4 linked regions of the Arabidopsis thaliana genome follow. The protein of the gene in region 1 interacts with the protein of each later gene in a biochemical or structural test. Each region holds a gene or a part of one and is shown on either strand. Other genes may lie near its edges.

Region 1 (6,596 bases):
TGTTCTTTACAAAATATTATTTATTTATTTAAAACAATTCAACCAATCGTGGCAAATATTGCATATAACAGAAATGATTAGAAAATATGAAAATTTATTTTAAGTTTTAATATAATGGACAAAAATAAAATACATAAGAACATCTTATATATTGGGATATAGTTTAGCTATTTAATCATTCTAAGTTTCTAACCATGATAGATTTGGCAAAAGTAACTCATTAGAATTTCAATTTTTGTTTGTAATGTTGTAATTTTCAAATTAAGTTCAGTGTATGAAATAATTAAATATAATTACAGGTAACTCAGACCAAAAATCCTACAACTTCAACATTTTGGTTCATACGTATATATATTATAAGTTTACGTCTCTAAACATAATGGTTCTATGGTCTAGCGGTTAGGACATTGGACTCTGAATCCAGTAACCCGAGTTCAATTCTCGGTAGAACCTTTATTTTTACTTTTTGTCCCAATATGAATCAAAAGCTTCCCACGTGCGAATGAACTAGTCAACAATATTCACACGTACGAAATCAGATCCAACAAAAGGAAGAAGTATCTTTCCTTTCACTTTTTGTCCAAATACATATCAAAAGCTTGCCACGTGCAAATGAAATAGTCAACAAAATTCACACGTACGAAATCAGATACAAGAATAATAAGTAATGGTGGAACTGAAACAAATGTAACCCAACTTTTTTGTTTTGTTTTGTTTTCTGGTCTTTCAATAAGAAAGAAACCGAAAACAAAACCCAATCTCCAAGAATTTTACAATTTACAAAATCCACGTTTGAACCAAAAAACAAAAACAAAGAGTGAACTAACATTTCTAACTCCCACCAATCCTAAACCCAAAAACAAAACAAAAGAAAGAAAAAACAAATCCTCCTCCCATCTAACATTATGCTACCTTTGAGGACTCTCTTTGCCTCTGTTATTATCGACACAAAAGAATCGATGAAACGAATCATAAATTATCCTCTACTACTCCATAAGCAGCAGGTTCCGGTACAATCTCACTAGATTGCCGTCTTCTCGACGACGATGAATTCCCGTTGTTGTTATTGTTCCTTCCGCTACTTCCTTGCGACCCCGAGTTTCTCAAACCATTACCACCACCACCACCACCACCACCGCTTGTTGTTGCTCCCGCTTGAACAGCTGTTACATCCGACGCACTCTGCCTCCAGCTCCCAAATATAGCAGCGTTCCAAGACCCTCTCGACGAGTTTGTTCTTAACCGGGAAGAGCCTGAACCCGAGTTGGTATCTTCTCTTACTACTTTCAGTGGGTTCTCAAGTGCGTTCACAATGTGTCTCATTAATGGTCTTCTTGTTGGTTTTGGGTTTAGGCATGACTTTGCAATGATAGCCATTGCCCATACTTCTTCTAGAAGGTCTTCGTCCACCATTAATGACGGGTCTAAGATCTTGGTTACTAGTTCTTTCTCGTTTGTGCTGATGTATGGCAAAGCTTCTTCCATGTACTCTTTTGCAAGTGCGTTGTCTGGCGAGCTAATCCCGAGCTTCCCCGTTACTAGCTCAAGTAACACTTTGCCAAAGCAGTAGACATCATACGAACATATTGCATTTGTTACACCTGAAAAGAATAAACCAATCAGATGTCTATCGGTTAATCGGAGATGGTATATCCTGATGAAATTTTTATTCTCCTAAGTGTATACCTGAAGAAGATGGTTCACTCGATCTGCAAGAATAGGAAAAGAAGAGACAGCGAAGCATTAGTAGGTGCCAAGACAACATACAGAGTCATGTTAGGGAATCAAAGTAAAACAGAAAAGGACCAGAGAGTTTGTTAATGTAATAAGCACTTACTGCGGTAATCGAAGTAAACGAGAAATTCTGCTTTGATAAGCATCACCTTGAGCATATGCCTCGCTTAGGCTTCCAAGACGTACCTCAAATTTATCATCAAGAAGTATGCTACTTGCTTGTACATCCCTATTTAACATTGAACACAAACACACACATGAGTTCTCTCGCTTTTCTTCTTATCAGGCAATAGAGCATAGATCAACAAGAAGTAATTTAGGAGCAGGTGATGTCATTGGGCTTCTCCATCTATGAAACTATACACTAACAATTCTTGAATAGATCTTACTAATTATGAACATGAAAGGTTATATGATACTAAAAACAGAATCAACAAAACAACTTCCAATAGTCTTGCTATGTCAATGCTTTAAAAAATATCAAGATTATATTACGAGAAGCTGAGCAGGAGAGTAGTACCTATGAACTAGAGGCGGTGAACACTCATGATGCAAATAAGAGAGTCCCTCAGCTGCACCAAGAGCAATTTTCAACCTTGTTATCCAATCCAAAGACTTCAATCCATCACCTTCGTTTTCGGATTTCCTGAACAAAGAGCTAGCCAAATCACCGTGTCTCATAAACTTGTATACCAAGAACTTTTGGCTCTCATTCTCCAAGCAGTGTCCCAAAAAGGGAACCAGCCTCTGGTGTCCAGCCTTACTAAACAACTCCAGTTCTGATATATAGCCTTCACTTTTACCTTCCCGCACATCGATCTTTTTTATAACAACGGGTATACCATTTTCCAAGAAACCACGAAACAGATTCCCCGAATGACCACGTTTTATCAGATTAGCATCATTGAATTCCTCTGTTGCCTGAAGAAGCTGCTCATAAGAAAATGCATTTCCAAGACGTGACAAATCAAAGGTTTGTGCTCCTTTAGGTGGTTGTTGTGAAGCTTCCCCGGCAGGTTTTGGCCTGTCGTTATTTCCTCTTTGTGCCGCTCTGCGTCTATGGCGCATGCATAGAACCAGAATAATTGGCAAGATAACAAAAAGAAGAATAAAAGCAACTCCACCACCCACTGCTGCCAATATAATTACTGTTCTGCGGCTTATCCCTGAAGAAGCATTTTTCGATGTCGGTTGTGTCAAATTAGGACGTCCGAAATCATCAAAATCTAATCCTCTAGACTTATAGAATGCTGCACATATTGCTGACGGCTTCTGTCTCCTCTCATTTCGAAGGCAATTGCTTGTAACAGACACATTTTCCCCGGTCACATAATCAGGAAGCTTACCTTCGAAATAATTACCAGAGAGGTCCATTATCCTGAACCGTCTAAGAATCGGTGTGAGCTCTCCATAGAATGTGTTCGAAGAGATATCAACCATTTCAGCTATCTGGTCTGAATCATAACTAGAATATGGCAGCAGTCCTGTGAAGTTGTTCTTAGCAATGTCAAGAATCCGCAATTTTGGCAACGACCAGCACACATCAGGTAGACTACCAGAGAAACCATTTTCCCTCAAAACTAAAGTTTGCAGTTGGCTCTCAGCACTAAACAAATCTACTGGTAAAGTACCACTCAAAAGGTTATCGCCAATCGCCATTAGCTGCAACTTACTTAACTTTCTTAGCTCCTGAGGAACTGAACCAGACAATGAATTGATGCTGAGATCAAAGTCAACCAGATTGACAAGATCACCAAGCTCTGAAGGAATCGGAGACGAGAAACTATTGCTTGAAAAGTTCAGATGGATAAGCTTTGATAACGCTCCTAAACCAGGAGGGATAGGTCCAGTAAGGTAATTGGAAGAAACATCAAGAGTCAACAGATTCTTCAGAGAGCTAAAAGATTGAGGAAGAACACCAGTGAATGAGTTCCTAGAGAGATCAAGCTGTGATAGATTCAACAACTGTCCTAAACTGCTAGGAACTAAACTAGTAAGACTGTTCTGAGACAGATTCAAAGTTCTTAAACTAGTGAGATTACCAAGAGTAAAAGGAACAACACCGTTAACAGAACACGAACTAAGATCCAATACTTCCAATGCCAACAAACTAACACCAAACCACTCAGGTATAGTCCCCGGTAACGCTAACCCGGACGCGTTAAAATACGACAAACGAGTTAGATTACGAAGAGGATCAACAGAGAATTGTGGGTTTAGCTTACCAATTCTTGTTCTCCTAAACCCAGAGATATTGATCCCAATGATACTACCATTCTCACATTGTATACCTCTCCAATCAACACAAGGGTCACCTTTAATTGGCCAATCTGTTCCTCTTAACCCTAAAGAAGACCTGAGATTAAGCAAAATGAGTTTCTCACTGAATCGACTCTGTGTTTGACCAACAACAACACAGTCGAAGAACAGTACCAAACACAACAACAACAAGACAAAACCCAATGCGCTTCTTCTTTGATCAACCATTGCTTATCAAACTCAATCCAATGACCCATCAACACTCATCACCCAAACCCAGAGAGAGACAGAGACTATTTTTTTCAGGATTTAAGCAAAATACCCAATTCAACAACCCTAATAAAAATAACGTCTTTCGATCTTTAGAGAGGAAGAAAGAGACAGATATCGAACTGGGTTTGCTCTGTTACTGGATCCAATTACAGCTCCTACCTTCACAGACATTAAAGCACCTCTCTTTCTCTTTCTCTCTCTCTCTCTAAATCCTAATTTATGAGAAGAAAAAGTAGAAATTTTTCACTAATCCTTAAAATCAGACAAAACAAAAAGTGATTTGTTGAGTGAAAAAAATCTTTAGAGAGAGAAAGAAAGAAGAAGAAGAAGAAGATCGAGATTGTTGAGATAACAACTGTAGACTGTGACACTCCTCTCTCTCTCGTCTTTGCAAGAAACTTCGAAATTAATTTATTATTAATTACAAATCTGATTAATTAATAATTTTGAAATTAGATTAAATTAAAACCTAGTGTGGGGTAAAGTGACGTCGTTTTAATGTTTGGTTTGACTTTCCCGGTAATCCCGCCATAAGCCAGCTAAGCTGTTGCCGCAATTACTATTTGGGATTTTTTCTTTCCTTCTTTCCTGTTTTATTATTGTTGTAAATTTAATGTTCGGATATATAAGGAGTAATATATCTCACGTCCTATATTCACCATTCTTGGCCGAATAAAGGAATCTTTTTCTTTTCTTGCTAAAATTTTCTAAATACTCTGAATTTTTTGGTTCGAATGGTAACGGCAATCAGAATAGATAAATTCATCGATAATATAAGTGTGTTTTATTTTCAAGTAGATAATAAATCGTTGTGGATCAATCTTATTTGTATGTAAAAATGGTTTATGATTGGTTTACGGCAGTTTTCTTAGTATATATTATTATAGATTCTAATTTATGATTGGTAAATTAAAAGCGGTTTAATCTGCATAGTATTTGTCCGTCTCAACCGCTGTAATCATTTGCATTTTAAACAATTTATTACAACATATAATCATATACAGTACAATAGAAAATTATCAACTAGAAAAACATGTGAAATGTTGGCAACTTTCTTTCAAAATATTGGATGAAATATTTATCGGTTATAGGATTTTGTAAAGATGTTGAAGTATTCTTTTTAAAAAACAATGATATTGAATTTTCTAGCTTTTTTGATATGATCCAAAAATTTGATATATGTTTAGTTTAAAATTGATAGAAACAAATTCTCTATTGTAGAATGTTCAATTTAAACAATGCCAATCGAATGAAAATATTTAGTTTTTTTATTTAATTTTACTTGAAAAATGAATGATTATGTTAGTTCAAAGTCTCACTATGGTTTATTTAGAAAATAGTGATTAAGTAGACATTAATAGAGATGAATTTTTCTTGAGCTAAAAATTTCTCAAAAGTTTTCTCAAAATATATGAACAAGTGATGTGAAATTTTCTTAAACTGTTTATTAATTTTCATATGCTACAGTTGCGTATATGATTTTATTAATCGTTCCAATTACTGTTATTTCCATAGAAAAGTTTTCTCTAACCTCGAGCTAGTTAAGTCATAATTGAGGATATTTGTTCGGGAAGAAAAAGCAATGAACTATTCATCTTTCGTCGGATAACAAATTTACATCACTACCTAATTTTTGTTACATATCCCGCATCGCTATTAAATAAATCCAACGTGTCCGAAAGTACAAATGTTGTTTGTATCTGTGTTTTCCAGTTCAAGATCATATAACTAACACATGTCCTCTTCGTGAGACCCCACACATACAAAATAAGCCGTCAAATCTAAACCATCGGATCAGAGCAAGATTATTTCGATTCTGGTGACGTGGCACAAATCATGCGTCCAAGAGAGTGTTTTGGTCACAGTTCTAATCATATTTCTGAATGCATGTTAAGCACCGAATCAACGTAACCATGGTTTCGCGCTTCTATATAGAACCGTCGTCGTCATCATCTTCCTCAAATCTTTGGACGTGGCTTATGCAGACAACGAGTATCGATGCTTCGTCGGAGGTTTAGCTTGGGCCACCGATGAACAGTCTATAGAGAGGTGTTTCAACGAGTTTGGTGAAGTTTTCGACTCCAAGGTCCGTTAAAGTGTGACTCTGTTTTTGTGTTGCTCTGTTTCTCTCTTTGTATCATAAAAATCTCGACTTTATATGGTTTATGGATTGGATCAGATCATCATTGATCGTGAGACCGGGAGGTCTAAGGGGTTTAGATTTGTGACTTTTAAAGATGAGGATTCCATGAGGACTGCGATCGATAGAATGAATGGTCAAGAACTTGATGGTCGTAACATTACTGTTAACTAGGCTCAGGCTCGTGGTA
Region 2 (7,241 bases), on another chromosome or scaffold:
TACCTAAAGAAGGCATTGGAAATTCATTCAGCTCAGGAGTGAGAGAAGGCGAAAATTCGAAACTCGTCTCTTCGAAAAGTACAGTATCTGTGACTGTGATTGTAGAGATGAGACAGAGAAGAAGAGGGAGATGGATAAGCCACACTTAATGGGCCTTTAATATTTGGGCTTTTAAGTCCCGGTAGATGTATATATTATATTTTATTTTTCTTTTATTCGAGACCACAAAATTAGAAATACTAAGCGCAGCAATAAGATTCGAAGAAACAAAGATTACTATTACACAATGCATATTGAAGAGATTAAGCAGGATAAAAAAAAACCAAGACCCGTCATCACCGGTCGGAGGATGGTGCATCTTCGCCGTTAGATCCTCTTTGAGAGCCTTCAACTTTTTTCTCAACCTCTTTTCTTTTCTGTTCTTTGTCTTCGCTGCCTTTACTAATCCTCTCCCTGATCTCTTCCTCCTACGCATTAGAATAATTTAATTTCATGATTACTATGACAAACAAACAAAAATGAGATTATGAAACCTCAACTAATTGGTTACATTGTCAAGTGCTTTAGCGTTGGGAAGTTTCGAACCATGAACACCAGCTCGGTTCGAGGCTTTTCCAACCATCGTCCTCACGCCGTCGTAACGACCATCAAACTTTCCGACGGTTCCCACAGATCTCCACAACTTCCCGATCATCATTCTAATTATTTCTACCCTCATTCAAGAAATCGTGTATATTATATGGTTTTGATTCAAACGTGAGGTGTGCATAGTATAGTCGATTTATCTACCACGTGTCATAAAAAGTGTCCACGTGACAAATCCACGTGTCACTAGCGTGTTTCCGGTCGGGTTTCTAATATTACGTGGATTTACGCTCTTACGGTTCCGTCGTCGCCTTGATTGCCGGTGAAAGTCCAAAGATTGTTGAAATTTAGAACGACCGTTGCTGTTTAAGCTTTAGCAATTCAGCAGCAGATTTACACAAATTGTAATCGATCATATTCCACTTTATTAACATAAAATTTATTCAAACAAGGAAAAAATTACAAATGGAATAATACCGTTTTTGGATCGGAACTCACAAAAGGGAATGGTTTTGTTCATGTTGTCGGAATCTAAAAAAAAAGCTACAAATTGGGAACAAATTACAAAGAAACATGGGAGTGTACAATGCGTGAAGGGTTGTTGTTGTTATTCTCTCATCATCAGTTTTATGAAACCGAAAGAAAAAAAGGATTTTGTTTTGTTTTGTCTGTCCTCGGTTGTCACTTGTTGTCGTCCCATCCAGATTCCGAGCAGACAAGAGAAAAAGGGCAAATTTTTATGTTTTTTTTTGTTGGTTCTCATCAGGTAAAGAATTTACATGTAATCATTGACGCCGGAGCTACCGGAGCCGACTCCAACAGTTCTCTTGCTCATGTTAGCTCTCTGCACCAATACAACCAATGCTTGCACCACTTCAGACATGGGTGGTCTAAACTCTGGCTCCGGCTGTAACAGATTAAAAGAACAATATACATTCAGATTTCATTTGTTCAGATCATCACATTATAATATATAGATGATTACCTGGACGCAAAGGGCGATAACATCTGCAAATCGGGAGAGGGATTTAACCGGGTATAGCCCTTTGAGAGCTGGATCAACCATTTTGCCCAAAGCATCAATGTCGTGAAGCTGAGGTGTTGCCCATCTTACCAATGATTGTTCCGATCTTGACCTTGTGCTGTCACACACAACAATCACCAGGACTTACTTCAATTCTGAACACATTTGCATCACTCTTAAGTTTTTTTAGGAAGGCGAGGGATATGGATTGTAAAAGTACCTGTCGAATGGTTTTCTTCCGGTTAAAAGCTCGAGCATCACTACTCCAAAACTGTAAACATCGCTCTTCAAAGAGTATTGGCCTGACATTGAAGTTTCTGGTGCGCTGTATCCTTCATCGTTTTGGTTTAGTAGCTGCACAATGTCATGAATACTTAGGAACAAGTTCCATGGAGGAACAAAAGAGAGAGAGAGATACTAGAATTCTGAGAAGTTTAGTCTATACTATATATACCTCGTTTGCAGTGGGAAGGAAGCTAGCGAGACCTGAGTCTGAGAGGTGTGGATTCAGCTCTGAGTCAAGTAAAATATTTGCTGATTTAATGTTCTTGTGGACTATAGATGGTGAGCAAACTTCATGCAAGTACCTGCAACAACAACAATACTTTCCATGAGACTCTGCTGCATGCTATTATATTGAGCAATAATGTGATTGAGATGTTTAAAGACTTACTCCAATGCACGTGCAGTGCCAAGAGCGATCTTGACACGGGGATTCCATATCAACGGTTTGCTTTCCTCTTCTGCAAGATGTAAAAAGTCATGCAATGAGCCGTTTCTATGGAACTCATAGACCACCAAGTGTTGCCCGTGTTCAGAACAGTAACCATCAAGCTTTGTGACATTTTCGTGATCCAAATGCGCTATTTTCGATACAATTTCGGTAAAATCATCAGCAGTATCCGTGGGAAGCGCAGATGAGTCGATTTTCTTCACAGCAAGTACCTAGTAGATCAAAGAAAATATCTCAGTAGCAGAATATTATGACATTGTGCTCTTACAAGTAGAGGAGGATTATATAAAATTAAATACCTTTCCATCTTCAAACTGAGCTCTGTATACTCTTCCAAATGTTCCTTCACCGAGAAGATTATCTACGCTGAAACTGTTGGTAGCTACTTGAAGATCTGAAACCGTATATGTGTTCACATTTGAAGGAACAACAACAGCAGCTTTCTTTGCAACAATAGGTTTTCTCATTGTTGAATCATCGTCATCAAACGACTTATGTCGCTCAGATGGTGGAGGACGTAGATTCATCGACAATGACGTATCCAGTTTCTTTGTCTCAACCAATGGTGGATTCTGTACAGACTTATTCTCTGCAACCAGATGATTACATAGTTAGAAAACCATAAGATTATTTGATGTATAATACTTTTTGACAATAAAAAAAGTTTAATGAGTTATTACCTTGATGAAAGTCATTGGACGCTAGTATAATGGGTTGGTTAATGTTATTATCAGTCTTTTCAATGTCCGTGGATGATGACCGCTTTGATCTTTTTCTCTTGATCAAGAAGAAAGCTATGACTGCTGTTACAACTATCAAAGAAATGACTATTCCTGCTACTCCACCAGCTCCAAGCCCTGATTTGCTGGAGTCTTTGCTATTGCTGGAATCACCATTGGAACGGTTTCCACGGTTCCCGGATTTCGGAGTAGGTGATGATTTACTGATCGGTGGTGTACCAGGAGGTGGTGGAGGTGCAGGCCCGGAATTTAATAAATTGCCATCTTTTCTGTTTTCAAGATCATTCAGGAAAAAATTAGTGAGATTAGAGAAAAGATCGAAGAATCGAAGAAAGGAATGCAACACTTACTGCAAGTTAATGCCTTTCAAAGAATCAGGGATCCAGCCTGTGAACCGATTGTTTGCAATATTCCTGAGGAGGAAGCATTCAGCAAGAACAACATTCAAGTGGTGTCTACAGGAGATAAATTCCTAAAAATGGATAAGCTTAAGTTACCCACAGATTTTCGAGAGGAAGGGTGGCTAGAATATCAATGGTGCCTGAGAACTGATTGTTCTGAAGATAACTGTGAAGTTGAAAAAGCACAATGTTAGTAACTAAGTATTAACTTTAACTGGTTCACTTACAGGGAGTTTTTATTTATCAATACATAGAGACCTACTTATAGGAGTCTTACATTGATTTTGCACTCGTAAGAGAGCTACAAGTGTTTGGGAGAGACCCTATAAAAGCATTGGAAGAGAGGTCCCTGAAAACACACAAAATCTTGTCAAAACATTTGTTTATTAACTTATTCCTTTGACTCAGGAAAAAAGGATCTTACAATATAGAGAGAGAGGTGAGTTTTGTGAAGTCAATAGCTAGCTGCTTCAACTGGTTGTGAGCAAGGTTGCTGGACAAAAACAATGGAGCATTAAATAACCATTCTTTCTCCAAGATATGTTTGAGAATAAACAACTGAAGAACTTACAGGTACTTAAGAGGAGCCATCATAGAAATGGAATATTGAGCAGATCCAGTGAACTGGTTATTAGCAAGATTCCTAGACAAATACAGAAATTGATCAACTTGCAAAACAAACATAGAAATTTGTAGAACATATAACAGAGAGAATCATCAAACATACAATCGCTCCAAGTTTGGAGGAAGCTGATAAGGCAAATCGCCTCCAAGGTTATTGTTGCTCATATCACTGCAGGTTTCACCAAAAACAATCCATGAGTATAAGCCACACCACTAAATACACAAAAGTAGAAACTTTGGAGAATCATGGAAGATAAATCTTACAACTCAGTAACAGAAGTCAATTTATCAAGCATGAATCCAAGTGATCCAGAAAGTCCAAGACTTGGTAACTTTCTGCAAGTAGATACATGTATTAAGCATGGATACAAGAAAAGAAGAAAACAAAGTGATATTGAATTATGATTAAAAAGTGATTACATTTGTGTAACTCGAGAGCCAGAGCAAGTTATGCCTTTCCAGTTTTGGCCACAAGGATCACCTCCTGATGCTGTCCATTGTGAGAGCTGTCCTGGAGAATTCATGGAGCTGAACATGATGTTTAACGCCGAAGCTGCACATATTAAGAACCAGAGACCATAAGTGAACTATTCCAAACCATCATAATCATCTTGATTTTTTGTCGGTTACATGAAGCAGATCCAAGATTTGAGATCATTTGGGTTTTATGAACTAGGTGTTAATGAAATGCTTGAGAATTAACAACAACAAAGAAAAAACCCAGAAAAGAGAACAAACACACAAGAAAGGAACAAAAAGAAAAACAAAACATAAAGTGTGTGAAAAAGGAGAAAGGTTTGAGATTTGGGGTTAAAAAGAAAACTCATTTGGTCGAAACAAAACCTGTTTTGAAGAAAAGAACATTATGACAGAAAGGGTTATTATTTTAGCTTGGGATGATTATGAAGAAATCAAAAGTTGTAGATGAAAACATAAACCCAGAATCATCAATAAGACTACACAAAATGATGGATTAAACACCTGAAAAGATCGAGACTTTTTAAAAGATTCTTCAAAGAGGAAAAAATGAAAAGTGAAACTCACTATCTGATGAATCCGTAGCTCCATGGATGAAACTTGGCTCAAACCCAACAATGCAGAGTATAAGCAGAGCCAAAACCACCCGATTCTCAGTCATCTTCTTCCTCCTTAACCTTGTCTCACTTTCTCTATCTCTCTCGAAAACCAGATGAGACAGAAGAAAACCCAAATGGCAAAAACCCAAACTTTTCTTCAGAGATTTTTATTATTAATTTAATAAACTTTGAGGATAAATTTTGATAAGCTAGATTTTATACAGTTTCAGCCATAAGACGAATTTATCGAGTAAAAAGCTGGCAAGCACGATTTGCTATAAGTAAGAATCCAAGAGCCATACAAATAGGCTTCGGCGCTTTGCTTTGCTTTGCTTTGGATTATTTTATTTATTTCTTCCATATACTTTTTTATCTACATTTGTTTATTAATTAGTACTAATAATTACCATTTAATATTAGTTAATGACATAATGCTACACTTAAAATGCTAATTTTTCTTTTTAATTTTGTCCATAAAACAATTAATCTTGGTTGGTGTATCATGGTTATGGTCTGACGCATTGTCTTTTTTTGGTTTTTATGCATTTCTCTTATTCCCACAAATTAAAAGAAAACAAAAAATACAAATAAATACAAATTTAATAATAACTAGCTGTAGTTTTCATAAGGCCTACGCGCTTTTAAAGGTTTGTATATTCTTCTTTCTTTTCTGTATTTTAATTTCCTTTTTATGTACGAAATATTCATATACTGAATTAATTCATTTGTATAGTAAGAAAAACAGAAACGAAGCTTTCATACAGTATAGATTACTTTGAAGATTGGTTTAGGATTGGGTCTTTCCATCATTGCTTTGAAGAATTAATTACTTTCCCTTCACATCTAAGTGGAATGAAAAAAGGAAATAGAGTGAAAAAGGTTAAATTGTTTTTTACTATATTAAAAGTTAGTTTGTTTGTGCAGAAAAAGGTAGTTTGTTTTGCTTATAAAGAAGAGACATGTGGGTGAAATAAGAGTAAAACACTCATTAATGTCGCAATTATGAGTATATAAGATAATTAATTAACAAAAACCTTATTAAAGAAACTCACGAGATTCTTGTAGCAAATATGTATGACCTTTTCTAATTTCTATTAGAGAGGGACGGATATATAAATTTAAGTAATTTGATAGTTTGTAATGTATGAGAAAAGATAACTTAGCAACGACCAAGAAAAAATATTTACGATATTAGTTAAGTGATGCATCTTAATCTTCAGCATTTCGTTAACTTCCAAATTATTGTCAAACAAAAAGTTACATCATCGATAATCAATCATTTAGTTTAGATTGTCCCAGTTTTATGTGAGCGATTAGTTTGGTTAAAACGTGTTAATCGGTCATTGTACGTGGTTTGCCTCTCATCTCCTTAGTAATGTCTTCGTTGAAAATTTCTTCGTGTATGTTCGCTTTCTTATCAATTTAATTAATTAACTTGTTCTTGATATTTGACCCGCGAAAAAATACGTGTTTGGATATTAGTTTTCTAAGGCACCGACGAGACAAAATAAAATAAAATGATGTGGGGTTTTTATTTTGCATTTAAGAATAATAGTAGAAACTAATTTTTTTCTTTAACAAAAAAACAAAACTAATGTTTTGATGAATGATGAGTATTTAATAACACTATTGCCCACATCTATGATCTATCCATATTTTCCTACAATTCGTTTTATCATATTAATGGTGTATTTGGATCCCTGGTATTATTAAATTTAGAAAATACTAGTTTTTAATTATATAGGTAAATGAAATAATTTGAAATTTTGTTTAAACTGAATTATGTTAGAATTTAGGTAGATGAATAGATCAATCGAGGCTTGAAGCCAAGCGTGTGCCAGCAAGAAGGGGTGACACTGATAGTATAAATATATAAAACGAAAGATATGATGTATCTCTCCGGCATATATAATTGTTTTCAGAGATTTATTAATTAAAATTGACAACTAAATTTGTTTATAACAGATATTAAGAACAAAGTAGAAAAGAAAAAAAAAACGAAATACAAACAAGTTAGCTTAGCTTCAATGAAGGACGTGTTTCTACAACTATTAGTCT
Region 3 (8,315 bases), on another chromosome or scaffold:
CACCATATAGGGTCTTTGTCATCTTCCCTCATTCATCTGGGCTCCAAGCATTGGCCTAGCGTCGTTGTTTCTCGGTGATATCTCGGATCTAGGCGCCACAAAGCTCGTGAAGGATTCAGAAGCCTGTGTGTTTCTTAATGGAAAGCCGCTGATTGAGGAGGCTGTGGTGTCATCAAATCTCCAGTCGGTTAGGTAGCCTGGCTTTGAAGTGACATCACTGACCTCAACATCTCCTGAAAGCATGGCCACCACTCGTGACATTGGTGGTCTCAAGGCATGAGATGTTTGTGTACACAGCAGGGCTATGCCAATCATGCGTTTCCCTTCTTCCATGTTGAATTCAGTCAGCTGATGATCAATAAGTTCAACTTCACGGCCTTTCTCGTGTAGATTCCATGCCTGTGAACAAGTTACACAATCAATATCAGCTTTTGCTAAAGGGCATAACCCAGATTAGCCTCTCATGGTCACATACATTGAAGTTGTGTTCATTATCAAAAAGTGTTGAAGTATGGACGTACCCATTCAAGAAGATATCTTTTTTCATCCTCCAAGTTCTCATCAGAGTTTGGCCTTCCACTCACTAGCTCAAGAGCCACAACACCAAAGGCATATACATCCGTTTTCTCTGTTAGATGTCCACGCATGGCATACTCTGGCGCAAGATACCCACTGCATTGATACAGTAAAATCACCAACATGTGTTATAAATCCATAGTTGTGTTGCAAACCAGAGGTCAGGGTTGGGAGTTACTTACATTGTCCCTGCAACCCGGGTACTTATGTGGGTTTTCTTGTCATCGTACAGTTTTGCAAGCCCAAAATCAGAAACTTTTGGTACTAATTTAGAGTCAAGCAAAATGTTGCTGGCCTTCACATCCCTGTGTACTATGCGAAGCCTTGCCTCCTCATGGAGATAGACTAGACCTCTGGCTACTCCCAGGCATATCTCATAACGGGTTGACCAATCAAGATGCAAAGTCTTTTCCCCTGCAACATTCAAACCAATGACATGTACATAATGAGTGATTTTAGCCTGGCAGAAGCATGGATCGATAAACATGCTTCTGTGCGTACCAAATAGAGCCTGATCAAGACTTCCGTTAGGAAGGTATTCATATACAAGCAAACGATGCTCTCCTTCATAGCAGCACCCATAAAGTTTTACTAAGTTGCGATGTTGGACTGCAGAAATTGCTACAATTTCTGCAACAAATTGTCCCTTCCCTTGTCGGGATCCCACCGACAATAGCTTCACTGCTACCTCTCTTCCATCATTGAGTTTTCCCTGTTGAATGCATTATTCAATAAATGATATTGTCAAAACAAAAGGTAATATCAAAACAAAAGATAGTACACATATACTCTTCTTTCCTAATATCTCAAATATGTACAAATTTCAGTAGGGACTTACCTTATAAACAGGGCCAAATCCTCCCTCTCCAAGCTTGTTTGAGGGATCAAAATCTTGAGTTGCACTTTTAAGTTCCGAGTAAGTGAAGGTGTAAGGCTTAACGTCCATACTAAGTATCTCTGCCAGAAACAATTCGGTTCTTAAAATCGACCAATATGAGAGATGATATATAACTAATTTTTAATCAGAGGGCCAAAATTCTACAGTTCAAGAGCTTTTTACATCTATACCTTCATCATCTGTGTACCGCTTTCTTCTTTTTCGGATGATAAAGATAACCACACCAGAAATGATGCTCAAAAGTCCAACGCCAACAATGACACCCACAATAGTACCAGTCATGCTCTTTCCCTTTGATGGTGGCCTATTACCCACAGTTGGTGTGAAATCTGAACAGAAATATGTAACACTTAAGCACTAACTAGCATCAGGAGATGGTGTAAAACAAGAAGAATTCACCATTTATTTACCTGGTGTTGCACCGACGGCCGATATTAATGGCCCATAAGCCCCTTGGATAGGAATACAGCATGTTCCTTTTCCAGCCCAGAAAAGATGAATTTCGAGATGATTTTGTGATACATTTGCTTTATATTCTCTCTGAACTGCTCGAACAGTGGAGTCACCAGCTGTTCTGCGTACATCGAAGTCCTTTTCAACAAGTCTTCCCTGGAAAAAGTGAGCTAGTCTTAGAATTCATCAGAATCAAAAGTCGGAAGCAGATAATTACACCAAAATTTAATTTGTAAAGCAGAAAGCTCGGTCAAGTAGTGCAGACCTGGACATAAATGTCAAAACGTCGTCTTCCTAAACCTCTCCAAGTGTTGGAAGTAGAACCTAGAATTTGTATTTCAGCAAACTGAAGTGTGACGGTATAGCCTCCATTTTCTAGACCCAACCCATAATACCTTAGGGAAGATGCAGAAAGTCTTGCTGACTGAAATAGCTCTGAGTCCAAAGTGTTGACAAATTGTGATTGTGAAGTAGATATGTATATATTGTTGCTACTTCCGGCAAAAAGTCCTACACTACTGGCTGCCCATCTCTGACCAGCACTCACGACAAATGAAGCTGGTCCAAGATCCTCGTCCTCCCTCTCAAATACTGCTTCAGTTACAGATCTTATCTCTGGGCCTCCGCAGTTGATTGAGAAGTCAGAATCTAGACACCAGTGTAAAGAGAAAAAATTTAGCGGATTTTTTTCCAACATTTGCTCAAGAAGCGGATATTGCTGTTACACTTACATATTCCTTTCCCTCGATTGCATGGGAAGTTCTTCTGCAGGCAGTTCAGTCCTGATAAAACCCTTTTTACAGAAAGAAATTAAACATATGATTAAACTATTTGCAAGCAACAAATAAAAAAGAGAAAAGAGAAACAAAGGGAAAGCAATTTCAAGCCCTAACAAGAACATTAATTAAAAAGTCACCTGTTGTCAAGACCTTCCAATGTGAAGTTGTTAGCAACTAAGTTGCTGCACAAAGAACATACAGTTTAGTTTAATATTATTCTCTCTAACATGATTATAATAAATAATTTCATACAAAAAGGAAGCTTCATGCTGGATATGAAGAAGTCTAATGAATATACATGTGGGGAAATTTCTGAATGTAAAACACTGTTAATATAAGTCGTGATATAGTGTTTTGTTTACTTACAGATTCAAGTTTGGTAAACTGACCCATGACGGAAGACTTCCAGACAAATCATTGTATGACACATCTCTGTAAGCATAGAAGAACACTAATTAGGATCGCCAGAATATGTTACCAAAATAGTTTCCTAATTATCTTGGCATGTCATTTGTGTCACCAAGAGTGGAATTCTTATTCGACTTGAATAAATGCAGAGTAAAAAGTGTACGAAACTTGAGTATATATCAGTTAACAACCGTCCAAGAAACTAGGGGACATGGCTTTTAAAGATGGAAAAATTATAAAGGATTTTGTTACTTACACATTGCTCAGAGACTGCCCCTTTTGAGTGGGCAATGAGCCATTCAACGTGTTGTTCCCCAGAAACCTAATATGAAGACAACAGTTATTTTTTCACAATAATCCGGGTCGCTGTACATAAAGATCCAAAAGTAGAAAACATATCATCTTACAAGTGAGTAAGCTGTCTTAAGTTGAAAAGTGAAGCCGGAATTGTTCCATGTAGTTTGTTGAAGCTCAAATCACTGGAAAACAGACATGAATTACATGGTAAAACGTCAAACCATTCCTGTTAAGCAATAAATGAGGAAAAATAAGAAATTATATAATCAGAAATATAGGATCAATTCGTAATTTCTCGTGACTTTCACAAATCATCTCACTCTTTTTACAAACAAAAAACCCCTGAAAAAGCTGCTAGAGCATTTGAAGAAACAAATTGACATATATACGTACAGTTGTCGCAAACTTGAATATTCTCCAATATTAGACGGTATTGTCCCAGTGAGATTATTGTTCCTCAATACTCTGCCACATATATTACAAATGTTAAATACAGGGAGGAGAGAACCAGATCAATTCCTAGAAGTTCAAGTTGAAACTGCCTTACAATATACTTAGAGATTTCATGTCTTTGATGAATTCAAGAGAAGAATTTCCATTGGATATATCACCAAGCCTCCTACATATAGTATATGAATATGTGGAGAAAAGGAAAGGAAGAGCAACAGTAAAACGATAATGATTATGACAACAATGCAACACATACAGCTCTGTCAAAGAAGTTAAGTTTGAAAACGACGCCGGTATCGGACCACTCAAACCAGTTCCAAGAATTCTCCTGCAGTAAAACACGTACCAGCCGTTAAATCCCAAATTTAAATGTAAAAAAGACTGGTTAAAAAAAAAGATCAATGGAACCAGCCTATTATATAACCGTAAAAATGAAAACTTCTTACAAGGTAGTAAGTTTGGTCCAATCTCCTATAAAGTCTGGTATCTGACCTGTAAGTTCCATATCCGCAATCCAACTGGTACCACATTAAGGAAACAATCACATCACGGCAAAAAAGACTAAATTGTAAAGTAATAAATAGATTACAAAAATAAGATGCAACTAAAGTTAAACAATAAAGCTTATATTCGACTTCAATATGTCTTACGCTTGTTCCAGCTCCACAAGATTAGCAAATGATACAGGTAATCCCCCGCTGAGTCCCGAACTATCTATGTATCTGCAATAGATGGAAGAAATTTCCCATCAGTCATCAACTGCGCTAGAATTTTGAGGTCGGTGATCGCTAAATGATTTCAAAGGTTAATATTTAATCATATCTAAATTATAACCAAGGATATAAAGACATAAACACTTATAGATTGACAGAAAACTCACATCTGTTGTAGTTTTGTACATCTCCCAATCTCATCTGGTATAGAACCCGAAAAGTTATTTGAACTAATACTACTGCAGAAATATATATAGTGTATAAGGAACCGTCAGAATCCTCCAGAAGCAATGTGAAGACACTATCATATTTAAACAATGAAGAAGCAGCCTAAGCTTACAGTAATCTTAAATCTGTAAGCAAACCGATTTCTTTAGGAATAGGGCCAGACAACGCATTGATCCCAAAAGTCCTACGTGATAAACAATTGAGAGTGAGAAACAAGAAATGTTCCTATAAGGGTGCATTATCAATGAAAGGTGTAGACATTCACCACAAACAATAAGAAAAAAAGAAGGTGTCAGAGACATACATCCATCGCATTCGAGTCAAATTTCCAAGTGCAGGAGGAAGTGAGCCAGTGAGAACATTTTGACCCAAGTTCCTGAAAGAAGTGATTTTAAATTGTGAAAATGTGTGCTCCTTTTGTAGCTGAAATTGTATAATCATCAAGTGATAGTAAAACCATACAGATTTGTCAGGTATTCCAAGGTCCAGAGTTGTTGAGGTATAGATCCTACAACTTCCATCGCATAAACCTTGCTGTGAAAACATCAACAACATCCAAAAATGAGGAGAAGAATTTGAGACATGAAATTGAAAACCATTCGTTTCCCCCACAAAAGTCAATTCCCAGTGGGAGAATACGTCGAACAAATGGGGTGCAGAAAAAAGGGGGAAAGAGGCCCTACATGTTGGTAATGCGGCAGATTGTGGAGTTTTCGAAACTGCAGTCGCATTTGATGAGAGGATTGTAGGCAGGGTTTGAGTCGAGAACACTGGCGTCGATAGCGGCGCCGGAGCAAAGTTCGCCGCTGATGTTCCATTCCCTCGGCGCCCGAATCCTCCAAGCCGCGAAAATTGAGTTCAAAGCTAGCGCTGTTTTTATTTACAACAGTCAATTATTATTAGCTCTTAACAAAATACGATTAACTAAACAAAAAATGTCAATTGAAACTAAACCGGTAAACTTCTTAGGATAAAATAAAAAAATATTATAAATGTAAACATCGGTTTTATCAATTAGGATCAGAAGAGTAGCTTAAGACCTAGCTACACAGTCTTCAATCCGATCGATTGAATTTGAACTTGTCAAGTTGTTCAAAGAAGAAGAAGACAGACCTTCGTCGGGATGTGTGGTGGCTCCTGTTCGATTTTGAGCTCGAACCACGTAAACCGGACCGAAATTACACAAGAACCAGACAGTGAGGAGTAGACACAGATACCGCCATAGCCTGAGCATCGTCGGAAACTAAAATTAAACGGAGAAGAAGATGATAGCCGCCAAAACTAGACGGAGAAGGTTTTAATTTGGTTCAAAAATGGTGTTTATGTTGGACTTTGAAGAGATACTTTTCATTTGGCTTAATTTGAATTTAATTAATGGTCTAACCAACTACGCGGAGCAGTGCGTCTCACGCGATGCATCCACAAGCCGTGAAGTGGACGCGCTTAAACCGAGATTCCGCTGCGTTGTCAACGGGAGATTTCAACAATGGCGGCTGCTGCCTACGAGTGCAAGAAGCATCACCACCTTTGGACTTTGATACTAAATGCCAATGATGGTTTTAAGGGATTTTAATGTTAAAAATGGGACCAAACACAACTTTCAGGAGAAACAGTCAAATCCAATTTTGGTCAAACGAATATGTATATGTGTTATTTACCAACAACGATTTCTATATTGACTTCTTTTTTTTTATGTAAGAACAAAAAATAGAAAAACCACAAGTTTTCAAGTTTCAATGTCGTCGTCCATGTTCTTCAACTTGGGACTTGGAAGAATCTTTTGGAGTTTCAGGCAATATCCAGCTCGAGCTCGTTGAACCACTCATGAAGCTCATTGCATTCTCAAATGTTCTCTCAGAGACGTACCCTGGCTTGGCATTGGCTTCCGTTATCTCCACATCACCGGTCAACATACCTACCACTCGGGACATAGTTGGTCGTATTGCATGATCTGTTTGTGTGCACAAGAACGCTACTCCTATTACACGTTTCACTTCTTCCTTGTCAAATTCTGTCAGATCCGGATCTACTACTTCCATATCACGCTGCTCTTGGTGTAGGCTCCATGCCTGCAAAGACCAAATTATTCACCAAATTTGGAATTAAAAAGGATGTGTTTGTAGGAAAAGTTAGATATATACCCATTCGAGAAGGTATTGTTTGTCATCATCTAATTCTGGAGAGGAGTTAGGCCTTCCGCTGACAATTTCCAAGGCCACTATACCAAAGGCAAACACATCCGTCTTCTCCGTAAGATGTCCAAGCATCACGTACTCTGGTGACAGATATCCGCTGCAATATAACATTTAACAACGGTAAGTTTTAGCCCATTTGACAAACCACATCCAATGTGAGGTTTTCAGGATATTTACATCGTCCCTGCAACTCGGGTACTTATGTGGGTCTTCTTATCATCATATAGTTTGGCCAACCCAAAATCTGAGAGTTTCGGGACCAGATCCGAGTCCAGAAGAATATTGCTTGCCTTCACATCCCTATGCACTATACGGGGATTTGACTCCTCATGCATATATGCTAAACCTTTTGCTACTCCCAAGCATATCTCGAAACGCTGTGACCAACCAAGCTGCAAACTCTTTTCCTCTGCCACAGTCACGCAACATGTAAGGTAACAGCATTTGTTTTTTTTACAAGGATAACACATGTAAGATCTCATGCACTTACCGAATAGAGCTTGATCTAGACTCTTGTTTGAGAGGTATTCATATACAAGCATGCGCTGATTTCCCTCAATGCAGCATCCATACAATTTTACAAGGTTGCGATGCTGAACAGCTGATATAGTGGCAATCTCCGCAACAAATTGACCCTTTCCTTGCCTGGATGCAACTGACAATTGCTTCACGGCTATCTCTCTTCCGTCGTTCAGTTTTCCCTGTACCAATGAATATTTTTAGAATATAGATAATGTAAAATTTTACATAACTTTCTAGTACACTAGACTCCCAATATTGGTACACATTCTGTGTACGGTCTTACCTTAAAAACAGGTCCAAATCCTCCCTCCCCAAGCTTGTTGGAAGGATCAAAATCTTGAGTTGCAGTTCTGAGTTCTGAGTAACTAAAGGTGTAGGGCCTTATGTGCAGACTGTTTAGCACTGCATTTGAGAAATATTTGATAAATACCACTTAGAAGGTTACAGTTGTTAACGATTAGACTTTAATAAAACTGCCACAGCTAAGACTTTTCATTTACCTTCTTCATCAGCCGCCCTTTTTCTTTTCCTACGGATGAATAAGAGGATAGCAATCACCAATATACATAACATCCCTGCTCCTACAATAGCCCCTACAATGATAACAATGTTTTTCTTGGATTTCGAGGGCAACTTATTTTTTACAGTAGGTATGAAATCTGCAGAGAATAAAAGCCGCTAGTTAGAAGATACATTGGACTCTACGAAGATCATGAAAGTTTCTGCTGTATGTATACCTGGAGTTGCACTGATAGCTGAGACTAATGGCCCATAAGTGCCTTGAGCAGGAATACAG
Region 4 (8,536 bases), on another chromosome or scaffold:
TGTCTACTCTAGCTCTAAATACAAGAACAAGCTACTCAACACAACACATGAATATACAGAACAAAGAATAAGAAGAGAGTAATGAAGAGTCTGACCTTCAGAGACGGCGTTGACTTGGTTGAGAGCATCGAGAGCAGACTCAAAGGGATGAAACGCTGTGAGCTGAACAACACGGCCAAAGCGACTGAGGTCGGAGACAGAAGTCCGAACCGCCTCAGTGTTCTGTCCGATCTCATCTAGTCCGTGAACCTCGAAGAGACCATAGCCGGAAGAAGACTCGTAGATAACATACATCGCCATTTTTTGAGGAGAAGAAACTAAAACCCTAAAGACCTACTGAGCGAGAAGAAATATACAACGAACGAAACTAGGGTTTCAGGGGTTTAATAAGCGCATCTGTTGATGGCGCTGCTCTTGAAAAATTCAATGGGCCAGGCCCATTTAACGGTGTGTTAGTTGTACTAGCTTATAAAATGCCCGGCCCATCACAACAGGTTAACTTTCTTTTTTTTTTTTTTTTTTTTTTTTTTTGGTCATCCTTGCAAGATATCAAAAGTTTGTTACAAAAATTGAAAAATTGTCAACTAAAATATTATTATTGAATGAAAGTGAAATCTGTTTCTCCACATCCTTATATAGAAGAAAATTGTCAACTTCCATATACAAGCATATCAAATTATAGAGGGGACAATCTTCATCTTCCCTCCTTGATCTTGAATCCAACCATTGGCTTCGATTCGCCGTCTCTAAGTGGCATCTCCGGGCCAGGCGCTATAAAGCTCGTCGAGAAGCTAGTGTCTTTCGTTTGAAAGTTGCTGAATGAGGAGCTTGTGGTGTCATCAAATGTACAGTCGGTTAGGTAGCCTGGCTTAGAGGTGGCATCATTGACCTCAGCATCTCCTGACAACATGGCTACTACTCGTGACATTGGTGGTCTCAACGCATAAGATGACTGAGTGCAAAGCAGAGCAATGCCAATCATGCGTTTCACTTCTTCCATGTTGTATTCACTTAGCTCATCATCTATTAGTTCAACGTCACGGTTTTTCTCGTGTAGATTCCATGCCTGTATACAAGAAATACAAAAGGATTATCGGCTTTTGTCATTTATCACACCATCTTCAACTTCGCCTATATGACAAATATAGACGTACCCATTCAAGAAGATATTTTTTTCCCTCTTCCAGGTTCTCATCAGAGTTTTTCCTTCCACTCACTAGCTCAAGAGCCACAACACCAAAGGCATACACATCTGTTTTCTCTGTTAGATGTCCACGCATGGCATACTCTGGCGCAAGATACCCACTGCATTGATACAACTAACATGAGCTATAAAGCCATAATTGTGTTGCAAACAAAATGTCAGGGTCTATGGATTTTGCTTACATCGTCCCTGCCACTCTGGTACTAATATGGGTTTTCTTGTCATCATATAGTTTTGCAAGCCCAAAATCAGAAACTTTTGGGACCAGTTCAGAGTCCAGTAAAATGTTGCTGGCCTTCACATCTCTGTGTATTATGCGAACACTTGCTTCCTCGTGGAGATAAACTAGACCTCTGGCTACTCCCAGACATATCTCATAACGGGTTGACCAATCAAGATGCAAACTCTTATCCCCTGTAACATCCAACCCAATGGCATAATGATTACTTTAGCTTGGCAGAAGCAGAGATAGGTAAGTCATGTTTCTGTTCATTACCAAATAATGCCTGATCGAGACTTCCATTAGGGAGATACTCATATACGAGCAAACGATGATCTCCTTCAAAGCAGCACCCGTAAAGTTTTACTAGGTTGCGATGTAGAACTGAAGAAATTGCAATAATTTCTGCAACAAATTGTCCCTTCCCTTGCCGTGATCCAATTGACAACTGCTTCACCGCCACCTCTCTTCCATCATTGAGGTTTCCCTGTTGAACGTGTTATTCAAAACAAAACGTATTAAAAGGTATTACATGTACCCTTCTTTCCTAGTATCTCAGAAAAATATACAGCTATTTTGTTCGATTCAGTAAGGGACTTACCTTATAAACAGCCCCAAACCCTCCCTCTCCAAGCTTGTTTGAGAGATCAAAATCTTGTGTTGCATTCTTAAGTTCCGAGTAAGTAAAGGTGTAAGGCTTTACGTCCATACTAAGTATCTCTGCCATAAAAAATTCACTACTTAAAATCAACCAATTTAACAGATGATAGTCAACTTTAATTTTGATCAGAGAGCTAAAGTTATTCAGCTCAAGGGCTTGTTTATGTTCTTATTACATCTGTACCTTCATCATCTGTGTACGGTTTTCTTCTTTTTCGAATGACGAGGATAACCACACCCGCAAAGATGCTCAAAAGTCCAACACCAACAATGACACCCACAATAGTACCAGTCCTGCTCTTTCCCTTTGATGGTGGCCTATTAGCCACAGTTGGTGTGAAATCTGAACAAGAATATGTGACACGGCACTAACTAGTATCGGGAGATAGTGAAAATCAGAGGAAAAAAAATATATCAACCGTTTGTGTTACCTGGTGTCGCACTGACGGCCGCTATTAATGGCCCATAAGCCCCTTGGATAGGAATACAACATGTTCCTTTTCCAGCCCAGAAAAGATGGACTTCGAGATGATTTTCTGATACATTTGTTTTATATTCTCTCTGAACTGCTCGAACCGAAGAGCCACCAGCTGTTCTGCGTATATCAAAATCCTTTTCAACAAGTCTTCCCTGGAAAAATGGAGCTAGATCTTAGAATTCATCAGAACCAAAAAGTAACATTTGTGAACCGGAAAGCTCGATCAAGTGGTGCAGACCTGGACATAAATGTTAAAACGTCGTCTTCCAATACCTTTCCAAGAGTTAGAACCTTCAATTTGTACTTCAGCAAACTGAAGTGTTACGGTGTACCCTCCATTTTCTAGCCCCAACCCATAATACCTTAGGGAAGATGCAGAAAGTCGTGCTGACTGAAAAAGCTCTGAGTCCATAGTGTTGATAAATTGTGCTAGTGAAGTAGCTATGTATATATTGTTGCTACTGCCAGCAAAATTTCCTACACTACTGGCTGCCCATCTCTTTGCAGCACTCACAACAAACGAAGCTGGTCCAAGATCCGCGTCCTCCTTTTCAAATAGTGCTCCACTAACAGACCTTATCTCTGGGCCTCCGCAGTTGATCGAAAAGTTATAATCTAGACACCAGTCAATAGCGAAAGTCTTAAAACAATTTTTTTCCAATAAGACATTGGAGCCCTGTCCATATGTTTGCACATTCAACATGGAGAACATAATTTGTGAGGGTATCTTTTTGTTACACTTACAGATTCCTTCGCCTCGATTGCAGGGGAAGTTCTTCTGCAGGCAATGTAGTCCTGATAAAACCCTTTTAACAACAAAAAAAGATTTAAGAAAGAAATGATAAATCGTTTATGCTTGCATCCTTTTGTAGGAAAAGAATAGAAATATATACAAAAACTCACCTGTTGTCAAGACCTTCCAGTGTGAAGTTGTTAGCAACTAGATTGCTGCACATATAACAAACGCTTCTGTTTATTATTCCCTAACAAGTGATTATAATAAACTTTTACGACAAAGAGGAAGTCTCATGCTGCATATGAAGAGGCCTAATGAATATGCATGTGGGAAAAATTCTGAAATTTTAAAAAGGCTCTGAAGATAAGTTGAGATATAATGTTTTTCTTTACTTACAGCTTCAAATCTGGTAAGCTGACCCATGAAGGAAGACTTCCAGACAAATCATTGTACGACACATCTCTGTCAGCATAAAAGAAAAATACAGTTAGGATCTACCGACTATATTATATGTCCAAAACAGTTTCTTAATATCTTGGCAAGTTATCTGTGTCACCAGGAGTGGAACCTTATTCAACTTGAATAAGTGCCCCGTAAATAGTGTACGAGCCATATTAGGAGGATCTGTCAACAAACCGTCCAAGAAACGTTGTGGCTTTTAAAGATGGAAAAATTATAAAGGATTTCGTTACTCACAAATTGCTCAGAGACTGCCCCTTTAGAGTGGGCAAGGATCCATTCAACGTGTTGTTTCCCAGAAACCTAATATGAAAAGACAAACGATTTTTTTTTATAAAATGATCCGTGTAGTTATATAGTAAGACCCAAAAGAAGCAGAAAACATATCATCTTAGTATCTTACAAGTGAGTAAGTCGACTTAAGTTGAAAAGTGAAGCCGGAATTGGTCCATGTAATTTGTTGAAGCTCAAATCACTGGAAGACAAACATGAATTAAACGGTAAAACATGAAACAATTTCTGTTTTCTAATGAATGAGGAAGTATACGAAATTATATTATCAGCAGTTTAAGATCATTTCGTGTTCTTTCTGTGACTTTCACAAATCATCTCACTCTTTTTGACCCTGAAACAGCTTTCAGAGCATGTGAAGAAAAACACTGACATATGTACTTACACTTGTTGCAAACTTGTGTATCCTCCAATAGTAGACGGTATTGTCCCAGTGAGATTGTTGTTCCTCAATACTCTGCAACAAATATCATAATTGCTAAATACAGGAGGAGATAGAAACAGCTCAACAGTACATTAATCTGATCATAAATTGGAGGAGGAGTTGAATCAAAGCTGCCTTACAATACACTTAGAGATTTCATGTCTTTGATGAAATCAAGAGAAGAGCTTCCATTGGATATATCACCAAGCCTCCTACATATAGAATATGAATATGTGGACAAAAGGAAAGATAGAGAAACAGTAAACAATAATGATTCTGACACAATTTAACACATACAGTTCTGTCAAAGCAATTAAGTTGGAAAATGACGACGGTATTGGGCCGCTCAAACCAGTTCCGAGGATCCTCCTGCAGTAAATTGTACCAGTCGTATATTCCCAATTTAGATACAATGAAGAATTATTCCACTATATTACTCCGTATAAATGAAATCTCCTTACAAGGTAGTAAGTTTGGTCCAGAATCCTATAAAGTCTGGTATCCGACCTGTAAGTTCCACATCCATAATCCAACTGGTACAACATTAAGGAAACAATCACCCCAACGCAAAAAACTAAAATGTAAAGTAGTAAGTAGATTATAAAAATTATATCTTACGCGACTTCCAACTCCACAAAATTAGCAAATGATAAAGGTATTCCTCCGCTGAGTCCAGAACTATCGATGTACCTGTAATAGATGTAAGAAATTTTTAAGAATAACAGATGCACAAGACTTTTGTGGTCGACGAACACTAAAGAGTTTCAGACGTTAAGGTTTCATATCTAAATTATAACTAGTCAATAACATAAGCACTTATGGATTTGACAGATAGACTCACATTTGCTGTAGTTTTGTACAACTCCCAATCTCAGCTGGTAAGGAACCGGAAAAGTTATTTGAACTAATACCACTGCAGAAAATATATATAGCTATAAAGAACCATCAAATCCTCTCCATAAGCAGAGTGAAGACATGTTCAAATATAGATAATGAGGAAGCAGCCAAAGCTTACAGTAATCTTAAATCCGTAAGCAAACCGATTTCCTTAGGAATAGGGCCAGACAACGCGTTGATTCCAAAAGTCCTACATTTGAGCATGGGAGACAAACAATTGTTAATTGAACTTGTATAAAATTATCAAAAAAGAAAAAGAAACAAGGTTTCAGAGGCTTTTACATCCACTGCATCCGAGTCAAATTCCCAATAGCAGGAGACAGTGAGCCTGTGAGATAATTTTGACCTAGGTTCCTGAAAGATGTGTGTTTTTGATGACCATTGGATCAGTTAAGAGTCTCAACATATATATACTTGTGAATATAAAAAGTGGGTAAGTGGGTTGTATGGAACTATACAGATTGGTGAGGTATGTTAAGGTCCAGAGCTCTGGAGGTATAGGTCCTACAACATCTATCGCATAAACCTTTCTGAGACAACAACAAACAAAATTGAGACTCAGTGGGAGAATTCGTCGAACATATGGAGTGCATAAAAAGTGGGAAAGAGGTGTAACATGTTATTTATGCGGCAGATTGTGGAGTTTTGGAAACTACAGTCGCATTTGATGAGAGGATTGTAGGCATGGTTTGAGTCGAGTACACTGGCGTCGATGGCGACGCCGGAGCAAAGTTCGCCGCTGATGTTCCATTCCCTCGGCGCCCGAATCTTCCAAGCCGCGAAGATGGAGTTCAAAGCTCGCGCTGTTTTTATCCAACATAATTCACAACGGTCAAATTATTATTAGCACCCCTTAATCTATTACGCTTAACTAAACAACTAGTATTAATTAATTGAAACTATATATTAACTGAACTAAGAAACTCATTCTATTGACAAGATGCATTTTATTTGTTTTTTCGTTAGTGGGGTTTATTACAAAGAAGAAGCTAGCTATTACAAACTACAAATCCAGTCGATAATTGGTGACTAAACTTTTGTCAAGTGTTGAAAAGACAGACCATCGTCGGGATGAGTAGTGGGTCTGGTTCGGTTTTGGGCTCGAACCATCACGTGAACCAAACCGGAACAACACAAGAACCAAACGGTTAGGAGCAGAAACAGAGATCTACGTAGCCTGAGCATTTCAACAGATATAACTTTGGTTCAGAAAAACAAGACCACTATGAGTGTGTTTATAAAGAGATTTGCCGATCAGCGAATGGGCTCTCTGTTTTCTCTGTATAGAGACGTTAATGGCTATCAGGCTATGATTGCTATGGTTCGTAGAGTTGGAAAATTCTTCCTTCTTCACCACTACACTACTTCACATAATAATATAAAAACAATGTTGTCTTCTTCTTTTTTTAGTCTCCACACTCTATAGCAGAGAGAAGACTTAATTACTAGTACTATGAGAGAAGACTTACTATGAAATCTTCCCACTTGTTGACACACAGCCAAGAGAATTAGTGTAACTGATCAACAATGTAAGATTGACTATAAACGAAACTTCGAGTTTCAAGTCGTCGTCCATTTTCAACCACTTGAGATTTTTTTCTTCTTTTTTGATAAAAAGGGGACTTGAGACTTAAGGATTATTTGGTAAGTCTCCTTTAGATATGCCAATATCCATTTAGTGCTCGTGGAACCCACTCATGAAAGTGATCTTAATCATTATTTCCTTTTGAATTCCAAGACATAACACATGATTACATATCAAGGAAGGAAGAAGTTGCTACGGAAGAGTCAATCACCTTTAGAGACTGCACCGGTTGATTTGGTTAAAGACTTAAAACGACATGAATAGTGCGAGCCCCATCACGACCGGTTAGAGATCCACTCCAAGTCCAACTTAGAGCTACTAAAATATTTTTATTGAATCAAAGAAGTATTTTATTTTTATTTTAAGTAAACGCATAGTTAAGAGTTTCGATATACAAGCAATGTTCGATTAGTTAAACGTACCGTAATGAGAGTCGTCCATGCATGCATGGCTAAACGTTGAGGTCTTTTCTTGATTCCCTTTTTGTTGTATCTCAACATCATTTGGAGATTTCTTGAGCTCTGATCCGGCTTGGGATCCTCAGTGGAACCGCTTGGAAACTGGAATAAGCTTAAGAATGCAGAAGCAGTCACTGATGCTATCATTTCAACAGTGAATAGTTAATTACGTTTCTCCCACGGTAGGTTTTGAGGACAAACGTGACATGATAAATCGTGTATTAAACTAGTGTGTAATAACCTAATATCTTCCATTAGCAGATCGATGGAGGGCCGCACAAGAGAAACTGATGCTGGAGCAATGCTATGATCTTTTGAGTTAGAGGTACATATATAGATCATTTGAAGACCTGAACTGATATGTTTCTGTTTCTGATCATAATTTGGAGAGGAGCTTCAAGTGTTTCGTCCTGATTCAACACTAATAGACTTTCAATACAAAACTTCATTTACACTAGGACTGTAAAGTATCCAATATGCTTAGCTCTGGTTTTCTCCCCCACTTATTTACACGATCTTTGCTCATGTGACGTCTACATCTTCATGACATAAGCATACATATTTGAATTGCAGCTTTGAAAATCCAGTTAGAGCTCCTGGAACCCCCACTCATGAAAGTAGTACAGAGATTATTTCATTTTTGACTCCCAAATAAAACATTACAACACATGAATATACTACAGAGTCAGTCACCTTCAGAGACTGCATTGATTTGGCTAAGTACATGAATAATGCGAGGCCCATCACTAACGGTTAAAGATCAATTTCAACTTCTAACTACTAAATTATTATTATCGAATCAAAGTGAAATCTGTTTTTCCCAATCAAAGATGAAAATTGTCAATCCCTTTTTTTTTTTGTACAAAATTGTCATCTTACATATATACAAACATCTCTATAGCCATAAATCGTAGATGATACATTGTCATCTTCCCTCATTGATCTTGGATCCAAGCATTGGCTTAAAGTCGCTGTCTCTGGGTGATATCTCGGAGCCAGGCGCCACAAGGCTCATGGAATAGCCTGTTGTGTCTTTGATTTGAAATCCGCTGAGAGATGAGCCTGTGGTGTCATCAAATCTCCAGTCGCTTACGTAGCCTGGCTTAGAAGTGACATCACCGATC

The links.
Region 2: the proteins of AT2G16250 (region 1) and SRF7 form a complex in vitro, tested with the Arabidopsis thaliana proteins (one large-scale study listed by BioGRID).
Region 3: the proteins of AT2G16250 (region 1) and AT1G56140 form a complex in vitro, tested with the Arabidopsis thaliana proteins (one large-scale study listed by BioGRID).
Region 4: the proteins of AT2G16250 (region 1) and AT1G56120 form a complex in vitro, tested with the Arabidopsis thaliana proteins (one large-scale study listed by BioGRID).

Annotation. Positions count from the first base shown.
Region 1 is NC_003071.7:7,038,713-7,045,308, forward strand, and holds AT2G16250 (Leucine-rich repeat protein kinase family protein), read right to left. Parts: upstream 4,643-6,596; 5' UTR 4,222-4,642; coding exon 2,255-4,221; intron 1,964-2,254; coding exon 1,838-1,963; coding exon of another isoform or gene 1,834-1,837; exon of another isoform or gene 1,710-1,833; coding exon 1,687-1,709; exon of another isoform or gene 1,602-1,686; coding exon 970-1,601; downstream 1-969.
Region 2 is NC_003074.8:4,781,755-4,788,995, forward strand, and holds SRF7 (STRUBBELIG-receptor family 7), read right to left. Parts: upstream 5,490-7,241; 5' UTR 5,246-5,489; coding exon 5,152-5,245; intron 5,055-5,151; exon of another isoform or gene 4,661-5,054; coding exon 4,528-4,660; intron 4,444-4,527; coding exon 4,372-4,443; intron 4,277-4,371; coding exon 4,211-4,276; intron 4,127-4,210; coding exon 4,055-4,126; intron 3,977-4,054; coding exon 3,908-3,976; intron 3,833-3,907; coding exon 3,761-3,832; intron 3,650-3,760; coding exon 3,584-3,649; intron 3,496-3,583; coding exon 3,433-3,495; intron 3,352-3,432; coding exon 3,023-3,351; intron 2,932-3,022; coding exon 2,642-2,931; intron 2,555-2,641; coding exon 2,283-2,554; intron 2,197-2,282; coding exon 2,064-2,196; intron 1,964-2,063; coding exon 1,830-1,963; intron 1,728-1,829; coding exon 1,571-1,727; intron 1,493-1,570; coding exon 1,361-1,492; 3' UTR 1,356-1,360; coding exon of another isoform or gene 1,092-1,355; 3' UTR 1,003-1,091; downstream 1-1,002. Other genes in the region: AT3G14330 (Tetratricopeptide repeat (TPR)-like superfamily protein), read right to left, coding at 4-93, 586-697; AT3G14340 (uncharacterized protein), read left to right, coding at 1,092-1,355.
Region 3 is NC_003070.9:21,001,690-21,010,004, forward strand, and holds the start of AT1G56140 (Leucine-rich repeat transmembrane protein kinase), read right to left. Parts: upstream 6,167-8,315; 5' UTR 6,037-6,166; coding exon 5,916-6,036; intron 5,673-5,915; coding exon 5,486-5,672; intron 5,337-5,485; coding exon 5,265-5,336; intron 5,179-5,264; coding exon 5,107-5,178; intron 4,987-5,106; coding exon 4,915-4,986; intron 4,814-4,914; coding exon 4,742-4,813; intron 4,584-4,741; coding exon 4,512-4,583; intron 4,380-4,511; coding exon 4,308-4,379; intron 4,190-4,307; coding exon 4,118-4,189; intron 4,031-4,117; coding exon 3,959-4,030; intron 3,877-3,958; coding exon 3,805-3,876; intron 3,594-3,804; coding exon 3,522-3,593; intron 3,437-3,521; coding exon 3,371-3,436; intron 3,139-3,370; coding exon 3,073-3,138; intron 2,889-3,072; coding exon 2,844-2,888; intron 2,721-2,843; coding exon 2,659-2,720; intron 2,576-2,658; coding exon 2,193-2,575; intron 2,084-2,192; coding exon 1,885-2,083; intron 1,804-1,884; coding exon 1,645-1,803; intron 1,534-1,644; and 10 more. Other genes in the region: AT1G56145 (Leucine-rich repeat transmembrane protein kinase), read right to left, coding at 6,536-6,871, 6,944-7,094, 7,175-7,698, 7,803-7,921, 8,020-8,178, 8,257-8,315.
Region 4 is NC_003070.9:20,986,594-20,995,129, forward strand, and holds AT1G56120 (Leucine-rich repeat transmembrane protein kinase), read right to left. Parts: upstream 6,480-8,536; coding exon 6,431-6,479; exon of another isoform or gene 6,173-6,430; coding exon 5,986-6,172; intron 5,900-5,985; coding exon 5,828-5,899; intron 5,724-5,827; coding exon 5,652-5,723; intron 5,560-5,651; coding exon 5,488-5,559; intron 5,386-5,487; coding exon 5,314-5,385; intron 5,163-5,313; coding exon 5,091-5,162; intron 5,006-5,090; coding exon 4,934-5,005; intron 4,842-4,933; coding exon 4,770-4,841; intron 4,685-4,769; coding exon 4,613-4,684; intron 4,506-4,612; coding exon 4,434-4,505; intron 4,233-4,433; coding exon 4,161-4,232; intron 4,061-4,160; coding exon 3,995-4,060; intron 3,761-3,994; coding exon 3,695-3,760; intron 3,511-3,694; coding exon 3,466-3,510; intron 3,369-3,465; coding exon 2,801-3,368; intron 2,715-2,800; coding exon 2,516-2,714; intron 2,428-2,515; coding exon 2,269-2,427; intron 2,145-2,268; coding exon 2,026-2,144; intron 1,912-2,025; coding exon 1,701-1,911; and 8 more. Other genes in the region: NOP56 (NOP56-like pre RNA processing ribonucleoprotein), read right to left, coding at 96-300; AT1G56130 (Leucine-rich repeat transmembrane protein kinase), read right to left, coding at 8,338-8,536.